Schizosaccharomyces pombe: one gene and its partner. The protein of the gene in region 2 interacts with the protein of the main gene of each other region in a biochemical or structural test. Each region holds a gene or a part of one and is shown on either strand. Other genes may lie near its edges.

The links.
Region 1: of the proteins of cdc2 (region 2) and rum1, one has a biochemical effect on the other in vitro, tested with the Schizosaccharomyces pombe proteins (4 studies listed by BioGRID, with this or other methods).

The regions. Positions count from the first base shown.
Region 1 is NC_003423.3:2,797,803-2,802,417, reverse strand, and holds rum1 (CDK inhibitor Rum1), read right to left. Parts: upstream 2,742-4,615; 5' UTR 1,830-2,741; coding exon 1,137-1,829; 3' UTR 501-1,136; downstream 1-500. UniProt on the Schizosaccharomyces pombe protein: Regulator of cell cycle G1 phase progression. Ensures the correct sequence of S phase and mitosis in the cell by acting as an inhibitor of the cdc2 mitotic kinase. Probably interacts with cdc2 to inhibit its action until the cell mass for Start is reached.
Region 2 is NC_003423.3:1,497,891-1,502,595, reverse strand, and holds cdc2 (cyclin-dependent protein kinase Cdk1/Cdc2), read right to left. Parts: upstream 2,389-4,705; 5' UTR 2,353-2,388; exon of another isoform or gene 2,311-2,352; 5' UTR 2,257-2,310; coding exon 2,220-2,256; exon of another isoform or gene 2,152-2,219; coding exon 1,983-2,151; exon of another isoform or gene 1,911-1,982; coding exon 1,610-1,910; intron 1,509-1,609; coding exon 1,203-1,508; intron 1,149-1,202; coding exon 1,068-1,148; 3' UTR 501-1,067; downstream 1-500. Other genes in the region: protein wwm1, read right to left, coding at 3,181-3,795.

The DNA.
Region 1 (4,615 bases), 1.3 Mb from region 2:
AAAGCTAAGGAGTGTTCGGATATGCCACAAAATGATTCACTAACTTTTGTGTTATTTTATATGCTCAGTATGGTAGAGGGGAGAAACACGGGTACCATGTAAATATAAGAGTTACGAATTTTTAACGAACTTCACTGTGATGTAAGTGGCTTCCTTGTTGTCATTTTGCAGTGCAAATGTAAATAAAAGTGACATTATGTAAACAAATCATCTTACCGCTCAGGTAACATAAATAAATACATTATTCATCATGCTTCATGGTGTGAAGAAAAAATGTTAGTCAAGTAGAGTCGGTTAGGCCTAATTATTACTTCAATGAACGAAACGATATTACACTATAATTTTACCCAAAGACTCCTTTCATACGCTTAGAACCAGTTTTGTTATCCATTTGTAGGATTTCAGTACCAGCTAGTAAACTTCACTATATCACCAAACCACAAATTAACTCAATGTAACAGCAATACCGTAATGTGTATAACTGTCTAAGAAGCCTAGAATAGTATTGTATATGCGGTATAAAAATACCTTTTTATTACTGGGATAAAACAATTGAATATAAAACTAGTTATTGAGAATAACAGACTATAGTTTCCAAACCAGCAAAAAATTTAGAAATCGAATAGCATTATTAACTAATCGATAAATACAACATTTCAGAATATATTCACTCTCTGAACAAAGAAAAGAAAATTGTGAAAGCCATGTAATATTAGTATAAGTCTTAAAGTAAAAGCTCAGTGGATGAAATTAGGAAATAAGTTAAACGTATAATATTTCAAAGCATGCCGTAAAAGGTTGCTAAAAAAAGTTGCAATGGCTCAGGGCAGACACGGGAGGACGATAAAAAATTAAGTTGCCAAATGGAATATGAATAGGCACAAATGGAAAGATGGGGAAATGTAATTATAGATACTCAATTAAGAAAATCGTGGTGATATTGTGGTGATATTACCATGAATGACTAACGACCAGCGTTTGTCAAAATGCATTTTCATCAAGAATAGAGAATAGGAGGTTCTGATCTACTACCAAAAGTTCAAACGAACGATTATCATGAATAAGGCAGAAGAGTATTTCGTGATTGGGCATTTATATAAACGGTATCAAACACAATTACAAAATGCGAAAAAAAGTTATCGTAATAAATTGTGCCTGTTTTCATCTTTTGTATTAGATCGTGATTTTTGTGGTGATGAATACGCAGGTAAACGCATTTGCGGTGGGGGAGCAACAAAGGAACCTGACGAGGAAGATGGAACCCTTGATTTTAACGAGAACATTTTATTCCCAATAGAATTCAGGTTTGGAGGGAGAATGCCAATTTGAGAATAGTCATTAAGGTCTACAGAGGATGTTGGGTTATCTGAACTAGAAGAAGGCGCCGAGTCAGCAAACAAGAGTTTGGGCTTAAAAGTAGATAAATCAGTTCCAGGCCTGAAGGATTTCTTGATTCTTTTCCCCCGAAAAACATAGTACAAACCATCAGAAGGAGGAGGAGTAGGCTTTCTCTTCTTTCTTGACAAAAGCTGGTTATCAGATGAACTGAGAAAAGGATTGTGTTCTCTGTCTTCTTCCATACATCTTTCTAAAGAATTACTCCGATCTTGTAGCATTAAATTTGGTAGTAATTGCTTTTTGGGAGTTTTAGCAGGTGTAGGTGGAAATGTGCTAACTTGAGGTGCTGGTAAATCGCTTTCAGGGATTTCATCTATCATAATAGAAGAATTACCTTCTAACGAAGCATCGATGACTCCTTTAAAACTCCCAGGAGACTCTGGGGTAGATGGAGTACACAACCCTCGCATAGGTGGTGTTGAAGGTTCCATAGCGAACTGACAATCCAAAAACCAGGTAAATGCAAGAAGAAATCCTTTATGTATCGAGCGGATTATCAGAAGAGCGTGTATTCAAGCTTTCCGATATGATTTAAAAAATGTATTTTTCAATGGTTTTTGGGTGTAGGAAAATTCAGCACCAGAAATGTTCACAAGTTACCTGTAGCAAACGAAAAGGTAACAATTTAATACCCACCAAGCTAGCGACTGCGCTTTGATAATTATACAATTTAAACAATATTTGTAAAATTGTTTGAAATAATATAGAAACAATTGAAATGGCTTCAATATATCAAAAGGAAGGAACAAAATGGGATTGTAGCTTGTAAGAAAGGTATTGAAATTTTCGGAGTAAACAAAAAAAAGGAATCTTTTAGAAAACGGGAATGGGAAAATGTCTATTTTAAAAAGCAAAATTTCACTTCATACCAAGAAGTAAGTGCAGCTAAAATATCAAAGAATCAACCAATCAAAAAAAGATATGTGCCAACTTTAAAATTGTAAATAGAATAATTAACAAGGAAAAATATTCTTTCTAATGTTAGAATTTAAAAACTAGTTGGTTGTTTGCTTAGACGAATTCAACTTTTTCACATAGAAATTGAATGCTCGATTTCTTATAAAGATGCTACCGTTCCTTGTAAAGAGTATAATTCAAAATTAAATTTTAAAAATAAAAAACTGATAAAAAAGCGGATTCTCTTTGACCAAATTCGTACAATTTAGTAATATATTACTGCAGCACTCAAGTAAACACACACGAATCAAGACTAAACAAGATCAATTGATTGTATATTATATATAATCCAAAACAAAAAAATTCAGTTTGCAACAACCGCTGTCAAGGAACCCAAAGCTTATGTATGTAGTAGTAGAACTGTATGTTTGACGTTCTGGTTAACTGGTTATTTGCTCATTTCGTGGTAACCATTACTATTAGATGGCTGTAACGCAGTACGCTAAATTAATTACTTTGATCAAGTACAATTTTTGCATAAATGTGTAGTTAGATTTTAAATGAGAATCGATTTTCTGTTCTCTTTAGCAAAAATCTAAAAAATTTACTAACAATTTTAAGCATCATAGAAATATTCCAGTTCGAAAATAAAAATATATGACTGCAAAACCGTAAATAAAAGTAAACTACATTTGAAGTTCTAATAAAGAAGAAACTTCGCGAGTATGGTAAATGAAATAAGTCTCTTATTGTTATTTAAAAGCAAGTACTATCAAAACTAATTCAAGGGATATTTCGTTAAGATTGTTCCTTATTAGCAAATTGATGGTATAAGCAATATTTATTACCTTAGCTCAAATGCAGGAAAAATGGATTTATGAAGAATCGACTATCTTTCAAACACCATTTTCAAATCGAAATGGGAACAGCAATATGCAAAGTAAATACACGGTTGCTACATCGCTAAGTATTTCCAAAATATATCACAATTGTTAAAAATTAAATCGTGACAATGTTTATTTATGTGTTTAAGGAATACGCTACTAACATAATTTATCAAAAAATATTATAAACATATTGGTCAATAATTAAAATATTCATAAATGAATGTTCATGTTATGACTTATTTTACGCTTCATTACCTATTGTTTACAATAAATAGTATCAATGCATTTGCCAAATGAAACAATTAAAATGATAGGTTCGTTAAATTAAAAATTAAAAATATGTTTCCTCTTCAAAAACTATTATCAAAATGTAATGCACATAACTAACTCTTTATTCAATTCATTTCTTCTTCTCTGCCTGTGTAAACACTAACCTCTGCCTCATATTTCCTATCGTTCTTATTCTAAGGGACAACTGGAGTCGCTGCAATTTTCTTTTCAAACTGTTTCATTTAATTTATTATATTTTTTGTAAAAAAAAATAAAAACAACCTTCGTCTACTCTTTGTACTGAATTTCTTTAAACAATTCGCACATCTTCAATCGAATACTTTGTTAGGCTTAAATTGCACACAAGAAATTATTTTCTATACTTGAGTTAATTATATATTTTTTAGTGATTTTTTCTTGTCTTCAGTTAATAGGATAGTCTATCTTTTTCTTTGAACATGACATCTGAATTGCAACAAGAACTACAGATTTTAAGGAGCTTTAATTACACTATAGAAAAGCTTACGGATGGTCTTTCTGCTTCTAAAGAAAAAATAAAGTCATTCGAAACCTCCATTAACAACTCGAATCGTCTAATACAATTATGGTCATCGGTTCTAAGCCAAACGGAGCATACTCAGAATCTAATACTAAATAGCGACTGGAAAGGTTTGTCTTTTGATAATGAAGAATTAGAAAGATTGCAACATCAAAAAATGCTTCAAATACAAGCCGAAGAGCAGAGAAAGATCGAATTACAACAAGAACAAGAACGACTTGAACAAGAACGAAGGCAAAAAGAGGAAGCTATAGCTCTTCAAAAACAACAGCAGCAAAGGTTATTAAGGTCTAAAGATCCAAAGGTCCGACCTGCAAGAAGAGCCGCATCTTCATATGTACCTTCTAGGCCTTCCCATGTTCCCAAGGTCTTCATCCATGAATGTGCGTTCTCGGGTTAGCATGGCTACGACTTCTAACCCAAACTCACTTAGGACTCCTTCTTCATCTTTTGCAAGTCATCGCCAATCCGCAATTCCAAAATCGGCCACCTCCTCTGCTCCTACTATACCAACATCCAACTTGCCATCCGTAGCAAGTTCGATTCCTAATAATGGTCTCAATTCTTCAAATAGAAAAAGTATAATTTCTAAAACTTCCTCTAG
Region 2 (4,705 bases):
ATTTAATTGGTTACCTTTTTCTATGATTAAAGCATGGAAAGTAAAATGTGCATGCGCAGTTTAATGGAAATGCTCTTCCCTCCATGTATTTGCTCCCTTTTCATTCCTCTCAAGCCTCCAAACAAATTTGTCCTGCGTTTCATCTTTAGACGTTATATTTCCAATATGTCTCGTTTCATTCTGTCCAATTACACTTTGCCAGGTTCAATCGTTAGTATGTATCCATGCATCTAGTGGTTTCTCCTGCGCTGTTTAGTTTTACTTCTTGTTTATACGATTTATTAATTTTGAATTTTTCCAAACGCTCTAGGTATAGACTTAAGCTGTAAATGATGCTCGCTTAGCGTTCAATATAGTGTGAAATACAAATATTCATATCACTTTCATCTTGTAAAATTTAATAAACACGTATGTCTGTTGAACAATAAGCACATTTACGTTCTTTTACCGTTTGCTCGTAAAATTAATTCACCTCTTTGATACTAAATACATCTAAGTAAGTGCAGTTTATATGTTCAGAGCAAACACGAACACTAAAAACTAAAGTCTAAAGAATATACACCTTTTTTAATACTTAAGTATAAAAAATATGTAAATAGAATATAGTATAAATGAGGATTAAAAAACTGGAAAACAAAGGATAAGAGTAAGTAAGAAAAAGGGAGATTAAAAGGCTTCAGTTTTATCAGGAATGAAAGAAAAATAGATTTAAACACTCAGAGCCTGCTTTTGTAAAAAGAACGGCGATAATTCCCTTGACAGTCAAAGAAAGCATTTAAAGTGATATTTACAATAAAGACACAGTAAAGGGAACAGAACTAAAAACGTTACTAAATTCACATTTAATGGCAAGCTCAATATGTCAGTGTTTTTTATATGCCCTGTAAATTGCCCATTGTTTGAGTATGTTTTGAACAAACGCCAAGATTCGAAAAAGAAGGAGGAAAATAAATATTTTCGGTTTATAAATTGAGGTAATTTGTTAATAACTGATATCAAGAAACACAGCAAAGTACAGATAAAGTCAAGGATAGCGTTTTTAAAGGTTTAATAATAAGAGACGAAAATTAATGAAAATCACGAAGATAATTTTGTTGCAAAGCTCGTTTTGCACTAATGCGATGGGCAGGGTCATAAACAAGCATAGCCTTGACAAAATGGTTAGTAATTAGTCTTAAATAGATGGTAATGCAAAATCTTACAGAGAGTAATTCAATAGCGTCCTCTTCACCATTGGGAACAACTTTATGCAAATCCATGCGTTTCCAACGAGGAAATGTGGATTTGTAATCTTGCAAAAGCGTGACTCCAGGCCATACTTCTTCGTTTGGGGTACCTAAAACTTGAAAAATTTTAAAAATTTCGTCGATCTCAGAGTCACCGGGAAATAATGGACTTCGTCGAATCATTTCAGCAAAAATACATCCAACGCTCCAAATATCAACCCCAGTGGAATAATGTCTTGATCCCAACAATACTTCAGGAGCACGATACCATAAAGTGACAATCTAAACGGTTAGCGACACAAATTAATGCTGAAAGACCGTCAGTCAATATTCCAAATTTTTTGGGAATAAAGTCATACAGCCAAGTAAGAAAAAAAATATACCTCATGCGTATAGTTCCGCAAAGGGACACCAAATGACCTCGCAAGTCCAAAATCTGCTAGCTTCAAATTGCCTTCTTTGTCTATCAACAAATTTTGTGGTTTTAAATCGCGATGAATGATTCTTCTAGAATGGCAAAAATTTACACCGTTCACTAGCTGGTAGGTAAACTTTTGAACAAGTCTCGGATCTAAACTAGTGGCCCCAGTTTCTGAAATTCGGTCCATGTATTTTTTCAAATCCATGTCTAAAAACTCAAAAACAAGATACAACTTTGATTCAGCATGTAAAATATCCAAAAGTCTTAAAAAAGGGTTAGAAACAAAGTTTTATCAATGTAAACATTTCCCATGCATCCGTCAAGTAAAAACTTACCGAACACAATTTGATCGATTATTCTCATCATTCACTTCTTTAAGAAGCGAAATTTCACGAATAGCTGTGCTAGGAACTCCCTCAGATTCATCTTCAAGGCGAATTTTTTTCATGGCCACAATACGCCCTGACAATTTATGTCTTGCTTTATAAACAACGCCATAGGTTCCTAGCATTAGTCAGTATACGTGACAGAAAAGAAATTGGATAAGTCATAGCTTCCTCAGTTACACCTACCTTCCCCAATTTTTTCGACTTTTTGATAATTCTCCATTGCAAACCACTAAAAGAAGCAACCTAGCGGTATGTTTTTTGGAAAATAATTTTTCTAATATCTGTTAATAGAGATGCGAGAATGATCTCAAAATACGTTTATACAAATTTGCTTATGTTGTGTTGTGCTGTGGGTAAGCTTGCTCAACTAGCGATAGACTAGTGGAAACGCAGAGGACTATTATCAAACCGAACTTAGGGCTAGCGCTTCATGTTTCTAACTTATGAATTATACTGTTATCAAAAATGAAATTAGAAAAGTAGGACATAACTCATTACTTGCAATTTATACTAGGTGATCAGATATGAAGAACTACATAATCAAAACATCATCTGAAGACATTGTATAACCGTGAATTAAAAAATTGTAAATGTGAATATCAGTCAAAAAAGTGCTATTATTAAATAAATAAATTTACGGTAGGTTGGATTATCCTGAGTTGTCTAATATTTATAGACTAACCCTTTAAGATAAATGTGAAATTGTAAAAACTGTCAAAGACTTCTCCACCTGCTCGCAAAGAAAACAAAACATTTTTTTTTATTTAAAAGAAAAATAAATAAATAAATATCACACTTATAAAAACAAGCAGAATCCGTGTGTATGTCAGAAGTTACAGAGTCATAAAAAAAATCCAGATAGATAAAAAGCATTGCGAAGGAGAAAAGGTAAAAAAAAGTTAATATAAATAATAACTATTACTAGGGAACAGCATTGAATAAGTCAATATTCATTTACGACGAAGACTTTCGAGTTAACCACACTAATGAACTATCCCCGTGTACACACAGGTGTAAAATGAATGATCTTATATTTCTGCAGTAAAATATGTATTAATCGTTCATCTAATGTAATTTTTCTTGCGAGAAACACTTGTCAATAATGCAGTTGAACTCAATAACATAATCGATGCATGAAATTCCCTTAAAAGAAATCATTGCCAAAGTCATTACCTCCATAATCATCAAAATTGTTGTAGTTATTATCATCTACATAAACAACTTCTTCAGGACGATCAAAAGCTTCGTCCATTTCATGCATAGCCAAACCACCGACAAGAAGTCCGCCCAAACCAGTCACCATGGGATTAGACAAGACTCCGCTACGACCTCTTCTTGCAGAAGTAGCAGGCTGGGCATATACGGGTTGTGCGTAGGCAGGCTGGGCTGGGTAATAATTTGGTTGATTGGGATAATAATATGGTTGTTGAGGATAACCGCCCTGAGGGGGATAAGGCTGTGGAGCGGCCCCGTATGCTCTGTTTTGGGAAGCTGCGGGAGCAGGAGCAGGAGCAGCAGAAGAAGCAGAAGCGGCAGGAGTGGCAGGAGCGGCTGAGTTGGAATAAGAAGGAGGCGGTCCACTTGGGGGAGCAGAGTGGTCCACCGAAGGAGGTGGTGGAATAGTTAAACCACGGACCGGACATTCCCATTGCGGCTTTGCTTTGGGATCACTTTCATTAACATAAAAGTAACACTTGTAGCGTTCATCCCACTGAGCGACCCAGCCATTAGGGAGACCTTCACGAGTTTGATAAGCCATAATGGAATTTAAGAAATATGTTGAGTATAAATTGAGAGAAAAGTTTGGAATGAAGGGAATATCTTAAAAAATAATTTTTTTGGTAAAAAAGACAGTTAACAAAAAATAAATGAATTCTAATACTTCTATCTGCTCTGTACGCAAGAAGTAATGGTAACAACAAATGGAAAGAGAAAGAATACTTCTAGATAGTTGGCCTTTTGCAAATGAAAAAGCAATTGATCAAATAAATGAAATTCCGCGTATGATGGTGAGATAATTATAGTGGTTAAGATCGATAAGAAGGTTGGAGAAGTTTGATGCTAGCAGCAGTCATGGAGCTATTCGTGGTGAAAGGTGCCACTAGTATGCTTAATTTCTTAAACTAATATTCAGCTATACAGTGATTCTTATAGGCAGTTTTTTTTTAAATTTGTTATCTATTACATTACATTATAACGAAACTACTTGAGCAATGTAAGTAATCAATATTCATATAGCGATACTTAGCTGTTTCTACAAATCTACAGATATTATACAGGTAATTGAAAGTCTCAAAGAAGTGAAGAAGCGGATAAGTTCATCACTCTTAAACATTACTTTGAAAACCGCCGAACAAAACTTTATAAAGCTTAGAATAAAAATTGAATCACCACGCTGGAAACCCCCTTCTAACAACATAAACTAAATCATGAAGAGCAAAATGATATGATTCTAATTTTATGGATAAAAAGGGTACGGCGGTGAATCCTGTGTCTTGTGAATGTCATTCATTATTTAAAAAAACTTTTTCTGATGATGGTGAATATTCCACTGATTTGATTTATAAAAACCTTGAATACAAGCGGGTATATTATTTGATTTCCTTTTTCACCGCATGGAAAATTGCTATTTATTTCATTAATCCATCGGCTGAAATAATCTTTTCAAG